Linked DNA regions of Oryzias latipes. The protein of the gene in region 3 interacts with the protein of the main gene of each other region in a pairwise test. Links are inferred from orthologs where the notes say so. Each region holds a gene or a part of one and is shown on either strand. Other genes may lie near its edges.

Region 1 (3,343 bases), on a different chromosome or scaffold from region 3:
GGGGGACCTGGTCAATGACCTCCAGAGAGTTAGCAGCAAAGCAACAAAGGCCACTATCCATAACACAGGACGCCGCCACACCTCCTCAAAACTGTAATCACCCGAATAACTTGTCGAATGAGGAAGGACGGCAGCTCGGGGACAGCTTCCAGATGATCGGGGGTCAGTCAAAGAAAGAGGACCCAAGAGAGAGCCGGTCCCACGGCCAAGCCCAGGTCCCCGCCCCTAAGCACTGCCCCAGCAAGAGCTCAAGTCAGGTGCAGATGGAACCGAGGCAGTTGACTAGTCATGAATTTCTATTGAACTCCTGCCATTCTGCACAAACTACGTCCTACACAACGATACAGGTTTATTGATTTGGCCTAAAATCTGCATGATCCTAAGTAAAGACTACTGGGAACGATTTGACAACAGATCAAAAGATGATCGGAGTGAGACTTCTATGCATTTTACAGCGTAGGCTTATGTAGTTTTCAACCTCAAATATTGTCAGTTCTTATTCAAAAAAAAGTCCAAGATGATGAAGAGTGGTGAACTTTAATTATCTGCTGTAGTTACATTAATTACATTTCATGCAGGATCCTACTTCAGCGTGCATTTCTTCTGTTTAGAATTCTTTGTCTAAACATTAGCAGACTCTCTTTTTTTCAGATTTCAGGTCAGTTGGATAACATTGTGTTAGGGATCAATATCTCTAATATCAAGCACAAATCCTACTGAGAAAAAGATGGAAATGTCAGGTGTTTAGAAGAGTCTTCTTTATAACCGTGTCCTCCCAAAGCCTGGTGGTCCAGCAGACTTAACTACAGACAGGCTTCCTGCATCCTCAGCTTGTCCGGTTTTCTGGTTACCGACTACTTCCACTATTCCACTGTCACGATACGAATGGAGCCCAGGTCGGACAGTAGGTCTGTGGAGTCTGAGGAGGCATCAATGACATTCGGGGCTTCACCAGGATTTGCGGCTTCCCCTTCATCCTGGATGATGACGTTCCTCAGCTTCCTCTGCCGTGGGTTGTAGTTCTCCGTGCGTTTGTGAATTTGGCTGTGGCGTCTCAGGTGAGCCTGGAGTAGAAGACGGAAGACAGGGGTGATTCCTGAAAGACAAGCTGCTTTTACAGCATCTTCACAAATCCCTCATAGTTGAAAACAAACAGTTTGGAATTAAAGAAAATAAGTTTTCCTCGTTGACTGTATACGAGAACTGGACTGAGTGTGACGTCACAGAAAGTGCAATTTTTTGACTATACAGATGTCACCGTGTTATAGCCAGACGACGTCAGTAGGCAGTGATTGGTTGGTCTGAGTCATTCTTTCTATAGCAACCATTCTCGCCAATCGAGTGAGCTTGTTGGAAGTCCACACCCCTACTTAAAGTGGAATTGATATAATCTGGCATTTAACGTTTTGAATGTACAACGTGAGACCACATGCTTTTATTGAGGCTTCTGACTTCATATATAGCAGGTTATAAAAAGAAAACAGAGCAAGAAATGGTGATTCTGAGAAATAGATTGACTGAGTAACAGCTGTTTATTTCTCTACAGAAGTCTGGGAGTTTAGCTTCTTGAAGCCAGAGGGTACTTCCTGTTTGGAATACCAGGGGGGAGGAGTCACTCAGTCCAGTTCTTATACACTCAATGGTTGCAACACGCGTCTTTAAACATAAAAACTTAATTTTATTTAATTAAGTAACTAAATTGCTTCCACAGGGAAAAAGATATCAGAAAAGCAGTGCAGAACAAATTATTATTTTTGTTTATTAAGTTACAAAGAAAAATGATTCCTAGTTATTTACTCTTTATGCTTTATTCTTGTTTAAAATCAGTCACAATTTAGTTTTTTTCCTGCGTTTCTTAAATTTTCTGTGATGCAGAATCTAAATCTTGAAAGGCGCTGGCGACAGCTCAGAAAGATGGACACGTGTCACATCCATTTGTGTTGGGTTTTTCCTTCCATGTCTGAAAAATGACAAATTTGCTGACAAACAGTTGGTTGATCAGTTGCTGAAGCACAAACACTGTGGCAGTGGTGGAACCAACAATGTAATGGTCAAAACTAAATCCATTGTCTAGGCCCCAACCAGTCGGATTTTGATCTTAACTATAAAACTAAAACATTTTTATATTCCCAAAACTTCTTCCCTCATGAAATGATCTGGGATATGAACGTGTTTCAGCTGCACTGCATGTGTGTTTCCATCTGTTCTGAAGTTTGCCTGTTTTTATATCAGGATGAACACGGACAGATCAAGCACCTCATGGTTACACTCTTTCACATACCTTAAGAAGGAAGGAGAATGTTTTGTCCTCTCAAACAGTTATTGTTCTAGAAATTGGCTCCCTCTTAAGTCTCTGAACTGATTGCATTTACACCGATTGAGGCTGAACTCAAATGGAACAAGGACTAACAAAAACTAAACCAATAAGAAATTTAAACATTTTTATTAACAGATTATCCGAATGACATGGCTCTTACACCTACCACTCGCTTTGGTTCGCTTTTTTGACTTTTTGGTCCACTCAACAGTATATTTGCATTCACACTGTAGTTATCTGCACCAGGATTCACTTGCAAGGTCGGGGTTCACTTTTGATGTGGTCCAGAGTTCACATAACCTTTGGTAAGCACCAGGGTTCAGATACGTTTTTAAACCTCCTAAATGAACCCGACCCCAGAGTAAAGTAATTCTGGTGCAGTAAAAATACCCCCCCCCCCCCCCTCCGATTGCACTAATTTCAACCTTTGCAAAACTTCATAAAGCCTTGTAGCCTTCGTGGCCAACAAAGTTTAAATCCCACATGGGGTGTGACATATGTCAGTACGTCAAAACTTTTTCTTCTCCCATCAATCATTTTCCGATTTCTGACAGTATGAGAAAAAAAATTTCTATCGACTAAAACCAGAGATTTACTAAATTCTAAAAACGTACATTTTGCCTGTTTCTCCATATTTTCTCTGATTATACAGTATTTTTCAATTTTAAGAAAACATGTTAAAACAACAAAATCTATTTGGTGTTTTGTATCTAATTTTTCTGAAGTGTTGCGTTTGCACTAACCTGCCGAGTGAACTTGTAGCCACAATCGCTGCACTCAAAGTTCCTCACCCCTTTGTGACGTCGCAGATGGACACGCATCTGCTCCTTTGCTGGAAAAAGGAAAGAAAAAAAAACAGCTTGCAGTTTCTTTTGCGCCAACAGAGATCTGTGTTTGTGACCAGGTCAGCATGCCTCACCTTTGAAAGTTTTCCCACAGATGTGGCAGCAGTGGGGACGGCCCTCCTCGTGCTTGCTGGCCTTGTGGCGAAGGAGGGCGCCTTTCTCAGTGAAGCGCTTCTCGCAC
Region 2 (4,405 bases), on a different chromosome or scaffold from region 3:
TAAGACTTGGACCCACCTCGAGCACAGACTAAACCCCGCCCAAAGCCAATTACTTAAAACCATTGACTGTATATGAGAACTGGACTGAGTGAATGTGACGTCACCCATGGAAAATGGTTTACTTATGGCTCCAACAAAATGTAATCAATTCAGTCGTCTGTTTTTTGCGATACAGACACCACCGTGTTGGAGTCAGCAGTGATATGTCCAAATTGGACCCCTGCATTTCTATGGCGACAACTCTCACCAATCGGTACTGTTGGAAGTCCACATTTCTACCACCTGTCAATCAAGTTTACAAAACTTTGGCCGCTGAATTTTATTGAGGCATCTGATGGGTCAGCTTATAGCTTGAATAACCTTTACAACAGAAAAAATATCATGAAAGAACTAAGATTATTGAGAATTATGATAATCTTTTGATTTTTAGAGCATTCCCAGTGGTCTTTCAATTATGATTATGCTGTTTTTAGCCAAAATAATTTTTTTTTGGCTAAAAGTTTCTGCAGAGTGGCAGGAGTTCATTAGAAATTCACCTCTGAGTTTTGGGTTAGGGGTTAAGCTAAAGATGACGTCTGTCACCCACAGCAGAGAGTTCTCTGTTTACACTCTCTCTCGCTACCTTTCAGGCCCTTACACCCCCAACCTAACATTACTGTGGATGATGGTGAAGCTCTTCAACCGTACAGTCTAGATCCAGATTCCAGCTCAGAATGGAGCAGGGAGCTTTTGGCCCACCCAGCGTATTTTCTACATCACAAATATCCTCTTTTTCAAACTGTTTTTTGTCTCATCTGCTCCTGATTCACAGCAATTTGAATAAAGAAATACTCAGAAATGCAATTATAACCTTAATTCTCTTCAAAGTTGTCCTCCATCTTCAGAAAAATGCCATAAGAACATGTTAAAAACACCACAAAACTGTGATTTTCTATGAAAATCACAGTTTTCATAGAAGTGGGTCTTTAAAAAAAAAGGTTTCAGAGCAAGAATAGTTATTCTGAAAAATAGAATGACTGAAGAACTTCTGTTTATTTCTCTATAGAAGTCTATGCGATTTTGGCCTGTTTGGGACGCCAGGAGGGAGGGGTCACTCAGTTCAGTTCTCATTTACAGTCAATGGTTGAATCCTGCAAAACATGCATAAGATAGGCCGAAGCTTTCTTCCATGCATGACAGTATAATCTAAAAAAGAAATGGACATGCGAACAATAAAAAATTTAAAGAGGAAATCTTTAAGCTTTCCAGGTAATTTGTTTTTTATTCTTAAAAGCAACCCTAAAACATGTTCAATTGTAGGCAGCTGAGCTAATTATTTTATTTTATTTCTGCAGGAATGAATATCTCATAATCAAAGTCCCTTAATCTCAGTGAAAATATGGTTAATATATAAAATAAAAAAACAACAACAATAGTCTCGGTTTGCAAAATTAGTGTTAAACTGTCAAAGAAATTCCTTTAATCCGGCCCAACTGACCTGTGACCGATATCCAGGGCCTTCATATCAAAAGCTTCACCGGACCTGAGCTGCAGCTTCTGCTGGTACATGCTTTCCAGCTCTGCCATGGTGCGTTCGTGGGCCCTCTTCAGCTCCTCCAGCTTGCTGTAGTATTCCTCATTGGAGAAGAAGATTTCACTCAGGTCCAGGCGGTCGACGGCTGCCCTGAAGCTGCCCCCCACGTGAGCTCCTCCCATCCCCAGACAGTCCTCATCACAGAAATCCGAGCCCGAGTCCCAAAACTCCAGCTGAAATGCCCAAAGGTCACTCAAGGATCATCATGTTAATTAACAGGTATTTGAAGGCTTCCTACATGAATTTATTAAAAGTTTGTTTTCACTTCTATGCCCTAAAGAACACTGCTGCCCTGTTGAGGGGCAGTAAGGTCTTCAGGACTAAGCTCATTATCCTGCAGTCACAATGATCAGAGCCATATGGTTGGAACACAAAGGTGAGCTCAGCATGAAGGAGCTCCGCTGACATCTACTCCTCCTAAAGTGTCCGGCCTCCATTAAAAAGGATGTTTGTCAGAAGCGTTTCTGAAAATTAGACCAACTTGCTACGAGGTGTTTTTTCCACAGAAGGTCATTGCTGTTAAAAGGATATAAAAGAGATTACCGACCCAACAAGACTTCTGGTAATCTAGTGAAGACAGAAATCCAAAAATAGACGGGACAACAAATGACAGATCAAATCCCTTCCACCTGGCTGACCTGAAACTGTCAACATCCTGTTAACTGGACATAACCTGTCTCAGGTCAGAGGGAGCTGCACTCAGACTACAGGAAAACAACAGCTTCACCCACCTTCACATTGTAATAAATAAATAAATAAATAAAATATAGTATAACAACCTCCAATCTAAAGTGTATACAAAGTTTCTATATATCTCAATAAATACAGAGTTGTCTTAACTATTTTTAGAAAGATTATTATTTTGAAAGTGTGACTTTTATTGTGAAATATTTTTAAACATGTGTTTACCTCTTTCTCATAGTCCCGGTTGTCCAGCTGGCCTGCAGTCGCGTGCGTTAGGACTGCCCCGCGCTCGTATGACGCAAGCGGCGCCTTGGTGTGCGGGTCCACCGGCGCCTTCAGACAGGAAGTTAATAAAACGTTCGTCCGGTGAGGATTCGCCATCTTTTTGTTGAAACAGTTTTTTTTTTTTAAAAAAGCGCCTTGATGAGGTTCTGTTACTTAGTTCGTTCCCCGGAGGGAACAGTCGTTGTCAGGTTGGCTGGCTTCTTAGCAACGGAGAAGCATCGTTAGGAAGGAAGTGACGTAAAACGGAAGCAAAGAACAAAGCTCTGATACAAAATAAAAGCGTTGGAAACGTGTACATTTTTAAACTGAACGCTTAAAATGAATCGAGTAAACACAGGTTCTGACCATTAAAATGTATATATTTTTTTCTTATTTGATTAATTGAATGAAAACGGCTACTTAAATAAAAAAAAGTATCTTAATTCAAATAATAAAATTACTTATGCATTGAATTTATTTTGCATAGAAGCAGGACTTTTTTTTTGAACCAGGCCATGATCATCACCCAATTTTTGAAGACACACAAAAATTCTATCTAAAGATTTTACATTTTTAACCAATTCTATAGAAAAGCAGCACCGTCCACGTCTTGGATGAGCATGAGGTCAGAGGCACCGGCGCCTGGAGTCTAATTTTTTTTAAGGTATGAGTGTTAGACTGACCAGGAATCACTTTAAATTCTATTGTATGCGTGACAATGACAAATAAAGATCTGTCATTACTCTTTAATCAAGAGAAAACCTTATTTTATAACAGCAAATCAACATTTTACATTTAGGTCATGTTTTATAATGTTACCATTAGTCTGATAAGTACTAGAAACCAGATTTTATGCATCTTTTCATGCTGCAGAAATTATTTGGTAAATACGTGTTAACTCTGCGTTAATATTTCACATACTTTTTTCAAATTAGCGGTTTTCAAGACATACAATTTAAAAAAAATGAAGACCAGAACATGTTTCTAAATCTGTGTACTACACTTTAGTGCAACATAAAGACAAAGACAAAGAAAGAAAGACAAAAAGAGGCAGCAGTGTCAACAAAAAAAACCCCACAGCCTTTTATTAAATTAGGCAATGCAATAACTACAGCAGAAATCGGAGCAGACTGCTGTCGACGTGATGCTCTGATCCCTCGCAGAACAAACGGGCTTCAGAAACCGGACAGACCTATCGAGTGTTCACCTGGAACCAGAACACAAAAATTAATTTCCAATCATACTTCTGTAAAATGAAAAAGGGAATCCAGTTCTGAGTCTTACCACGTCATCGATCTTGAGGATGCTACGGACCGTTTCTGTGGCCAGAGTCAACGCGCTGATGGAAACCAGCACGGGCTGCACCACCAGCTCCTCCAAGATGTTTGAAATCCCCCCCTGTCCAAAAAATAAATAAATCTGTCAAGCTGTCAACCGCGCACAGACGGAGCAAAAGGAAAGCACGCCGACCTTGCGGACGTTGATGCCGGCCATCTTGTCTCCCTGTGCGTGTTTGTTGCGGAGTTCCGTCACCGTGGAGATGGGGTTCAGGCCCGCGTTCTCCGCCAGTGTGGAGGGTATGACCTCCAGAGCATCACCATACGCGCGCACGCAGTACGCCTCCATCCCAGCCAGAGTGCGCGAGTACTCTGTCAGACGCACGGCCAGCTCAATCTCTGGAGCTCCGCCTCCTGCTATCAGAGCCCTGAAGAACAGAGGAACAATCAGCATACGCTTATGACCAAAAACATATAGTATATACATAGATATGTGCAAACATAACTGAGGTCATGTCAGAGGTTTTGTTGTTTAATGAGACAAAAGTTAAACCCTTTTTCAGATCTAAATATTATTTATAATACAAACCTTTCAACAGCTGAATTT
Region 3 (4,387 bases):
ACTCGGAGGAACCACGCGTGTCACCTGGTGCATCTGGCGCTCCGGTGCCCCCCCCCCCCCCGGTGGCAGAGACACTCTGGCGATGCAGCGCTAGACGTTTTTTATGCCTCGACTTTGATGTCCGACCATTCCTTCTTTATTTCGGCCACGGTCCGAGGTTGTGAGGCTACAGCATTTGGCGTCTGCCACCGTTTGCCACTCAAGTGCCTTTTTGGCATTAGTAATGCCCACACTGTGCCCTCCAAACAACATTTCCTCCTCTTTTCCACTTCACCAACGATAACTTCTACTTCACATTGAGTGAAGTTACGTTTTTTTTCATTTCCTCTCTGTGTTTGCCATGATTTCGCAATCCATGAATATTCATTTGTGGGCGTTTCGCGGACTATTTATGGGCAACTATGGGCGTGTCATGAAGCCGCAAAAGCTGCGCTGCATTTAGAATTGATTGTGATTTATTAAGGGAAAGATGCGTAGGATGTGCGTGCGCACGGTTTTATAAATCTGAATATTTCTGTGCGTACGCACGTCCTATGTTTCATCTGTACGCCACTTCTGACGCAAATCCTACGCAAAGTTTTATAAATGAGGCCCCAGGTTATGTTATGAGCATGAGTTGCCATGGCAACTTGACATACCCTGAAACATACCTCCATTTCTGGAACAGATTATCAACTTCCTTAGCCTCAAACTTACCGTGGGAGCTAGCATAACCTGCTTTCTGGAATACCCCCCAGGACTGCATATTCAGACTACGCCATGTTTGCAAATATATCATTTGTGGCCACAAATTAGTATTTTGTACACACAAATAAGCCTTTTGTGGTCACAAATTAGCATTTTGTGGATACAAATTAGTAATTTATGAGCATTTTGTAGTCACAACTTAGTATTTTAAAAGGCACGGGGGAAATGTACAGAGCTCTAAATGAAACAAAATTTTTACTCATTTAAAAAATTGTAACCATGAATTAGTATTTTGTGTAGACAAATGACCATTTTATTATTTTTTTACATTTTAGTACAAACAAATGAGTATTTCAGTATCTTCAAGTTCCAATACTAACTTGTGCCCAAAAAATACAAATTCATTGCCTCAAAATTCTAACTTGTGCGCACAAAATGCTAATTTGTGGGCCAAAAAAAATGCTACTTTGTGTGTAGAAAATACTAATTTATGGCCAAAAATTAATATTAGCAAATAAAATAGTATTTTAGCATCTTCAAGTTACATTACTAATTTGTGGCCACAAAATACAAATATTTGGCCACAAAATGCTAATTTCCCCCTTAAAACTCTTATTTGTCCCCATGAAATACTATTCTGTAGCCACTAAATGCTAATTTGTGCAAAAAAAAACTAAAAATACATGTGAGGGAACCATTTATTTATTTTTGTAATGTCATTTCCAAGGCTCCGTTATTTCGTGGCCACAAATGAATATTTAACTATAATTTTGTAGGAAAAACTAGTGGCCAAAAATTAGTGTGCACAAATTTGTGTACACTAATTGGCATAATGTGTGCACAAATGTGTATTTATTGCACAGAAATTTGTATTTTAAAGCCATATTTTGTTAGCATTTTGTGCACACATGTATTTTTCCCACAGAATGTTGTTTTTGTAGGCCACAAATTAGTAGAAGGAACTGATCCTCAAATTTGTGCACAAAATATAAATTTGCGGGTTCAGGGCTCCATAGAAATGTCAGTAATTAAGTAGCTATTAAAAAACAAGCATAAGATGTCCTAAAGTTCTACTCTGGCAGCATCTTTGTGCAGTGGATCATGTTGAAGGAAGACCGGCCCACCGTTCTGCGCTCTGATTGGCTGGGTGATCCATCAATCAGGAAATGCTTTATAATGGATTACACCCGACTCTATCAGGAAGGGCGGGTAACAAACCCTTTATTTAACCCTGTTGGTTAAATGAATGATGAATCAAATATACTGTACAGTTATAAATAAAGATTTCTGCAGCTAATAGAAGCCATTAAAAAAAACAACGAAAGGCATACTAATAATTTGCCTAAAGCTCATATTTGAAAGACAGACTACTTTATAAAAACCCAGCAAGTCATTTTTCCTGTCTGGACTGACTTGATGGATTTAAATGCGTCCTTCATTATCGCGATACGCCTCGAAAAGCTCCGCAGCGCCCGATAACCCTCGGCGAAACACCCGCCTGAAACACTCCGGTACTTCAAATCACACTCAGAACCGAGTCTCGTGTGTTAATCGAGCAATTTCCCCTTCGTTCGGCCGCGCGCGACCTCCAAACGGACACGAGAACGCTGCAGTCCTACGAGAGGAAAGCGGGTAGCGGCGATCCGGAGCAGCCCCGTCTGTCCTGGAGCGACGCCCACTTCAGGCTCCAGCCAGCACACAATGGAAAAAAAAGAAAAAAGAAAAGACACCGACCTCCTCCAGCGGCGAAGCACGCCGCGAGCTCAGATAAACATGTCCACACCACGAATCAGTTTGATGAAACAAACGCCCGTTTCCATCCGCGAGAGGCGCCCCCACTCCTCTCCGGAGGTCCGGAGCACAGCGAGCAGCTTTCGCCTGCTGCCCGGAGCGAGCGACGCCTTCGCAGGCGCGAGGTGTCGGCAAGGACCCGCTGACGCCCTGATATATATACCCCGTCAGAAAAGCATCGATACTCACTGGTGACTGGATTCACCCGCCGCCCGGCACACTCTACTTGCCCCTGCATCTACCTCTATATCCATTTTTTTTATTTAAATGATTATTTGTGCCTTTTCTGACCCTCCCCCTCCGCTTTTTATTTCTCCCCGTCCAGGGTCCACAGCCAGGCACTTCCTGCTCAGCCCTAAAGACCGAAACCCGGTCAGAGAGACTGGAGCTCCGTGCTGACGTGGGTGTTTATTAACAGGGTGCCCGAGGGTTCAGGGAGCCATTTAAAGCCCCAGTGCCTTTTTACAGGAACAGCACGTACCTCAGCCTAAAAACGACCATACCCACTCGAGATCACGCAGGAATTCATGCTCACCTTACCATGATTTCCTCCAGTATCCTCTTATTACAACATATTTCTTTCTCCATCCGTATGAAAAAAAAAAAACCCCACAAAAAATAAAAAAATACAGCACCAATAATCTTAAAGAATATGTCCTTAGGGGTTTTTCCAATTAATACATTTCAAAAGAAAGCACAATTTTACTGTTAGAAAATTATTTTATTCATCATTTTTATGGCTTCCATAATTATAAAGTTAAGAAAAGAATCCCTGCTGTTCAGAAACAACCAAATAAAGACAAAAAATCTGTTGAATAGATTTTAGTTACAAATTCCAAAAATAATAGAAAGAAATTCAAATTTGAGGCCTTATGTTGCATTTATGACATGACAAAAAAATAGTATCTGCTTTGGTGGATTAACACAAAATAATCAATAACACCCCCCAGCATTCATCAAGAGCTGGTGCTCTTGGAAAATCCAGTGGGGTTCATGGACTGCCAGCGCCACAGATCTGCACCTGAATGCAAATGAGGAAGAAAAAATAAAGATGGCACAGATTATTGAAAAATGATCGCAGCTAATTGAATGTATTTTCTGCAGATTATCAGACTGCACGGTGTGATGGAGCCATTGACTGTATATGAGAACTGGACTGAGGTACCCATCCCTGCTTGGGTTCTAAACAGGAAGTACCTGCTGACTCCAAGAAGCCATAGACTTCTATAGTAAAATAAAGTAGCTATTACTCAGTCATTATATCTGGCAGAATAACCATTTTTGCCCTAAAACCTTTTTTTAACATGTTCTTGCTAATCCTATTTTTTCTGTAGTTATTTAAGTTTTAAACTGGGCAATCAGATGACTCAGAGGTCTCAGATTGAACGTTTGATTGACAGATTCTCCCGAGCCCACTTTCAAGTGGTAGGGGTGTGGCCTCTCAACAAGCTTTCTCCTGATTGGCCAGAATGGTTTGCCATAGAAATGATCACTCAGATCGACTCGGACCATCACTGCTTACTGATGTTATCTGGCTCCAACGTGCCAGTGTCCGTGTCACGAAAAATTGAATCAACCTTTTTTCACTGGAGCCAGAAGTAAGTCACTTTCTATGAGTGACGTCACACTCCGTCCAGTTTTAATTTAGAGTCAATAAGTGGAGCTTACACATCCTCTCCATGTCAAATTCAGCCTTCCATCCCAGCTCCTCCTCAGCTAGCTTAGGGTCAGCATAGCAGGATGCTACGTCTCCTCCTCTACGGGGGGCGATCTTGTATGGGATCTTTACAGAAGAAACAGTGTTTGCAACATGACTCAGCCATAGAAATCTTTAAAGCCCATAAAATTATTTTACAAAGTAGATTTAATACGGTGAAGTATTGAAGCAAAACAACTTTTGTGTAACTCA

Evidence for each region.
Region 1: the proteins of zbtb8a (region 3) and telomere zinc finger-associated protein interact in binary tests that used the Homo sapiens proteins (3 or more experiments, as listed by UniProt). The two-hybrid records come from large-scale screens. The link is inferred for Oryzias latipes from reciprocal best matches to the Homo sapiens genes ZBTB8A and ZBTB48.
Region 2: the proteins of zbtb8a (region 3) and fam161a interact in binary tests that used the Homo sapiens proteins (3 or more experiments, as listed by UniProt). The two-hybrid records come from large-scale screens. The link is inferred for Oryzias latipes from reciprocal best matches to the Homo sapiens genes ZBTB8A and FAM161A.

The regions. Positions count from the first base shown.
Region 1 is NC_019865.2:24,218,395-24,221,737, forward strand, and holds the end of telomere zinc finger-associated protein, read right to left. Parts: coding exon 3,237-3,343; intron 3,150-3,236; coding exon 3,061-3,149; intron 1,065-3,060; coding exon 864-1,064; 3' UTR 519-863; downstream 1-518. UniProt on the Homo sapiens protein: Plays a critical role in transcriptional regulation and chromatin remodeling. Acts as a regulator of telomere length. Directly binds the telomeric double-stranded 5'-TTAGGG-3' repeat.
Region 2 is NC_019859.2:4,112,530-4,116,934, reverse strand, and holds the start of fam161a (protein FAM161A), read right to left. Parts: upstream 2,810-4,405; 5' UTR 2,639-2,809; coding exon 2,483-2,638; intron 2,090-2,482; exon of another isoform or gene 1,747-2,089; coding exon 1,478-1,746; intron 1-1,477. Other genes in the region: cct4 (T-complex protein 1 subunit delta), read right to left, coding at 3,714-3,728, 3,806-3,919, 3,992-4,226. UniProt on the Homo sapiens protein: Involved in ciliogenesis.
Region 3 is NC_019880.2:16,761,319-16,765,705, reverse strand, and holds the start of zbtb8a (zinc finger and BTB domain-containing protein 8A), read right to left. Parts: upstream 2,866-4,387; 5' UTR 2,733-2,865; coding exon 2,668-2,732; intron 2,653-2,667; exon of another isoform or gene 2,422-2,652; intron 1-2,421. Other genes in the region: gale (UDP-glucose 4-epimerase), read right to left, coding at 3,435-3,499, 4,147-4,261. UniProt on the Homo sapiens protein: May be involved in transcriptional regulation.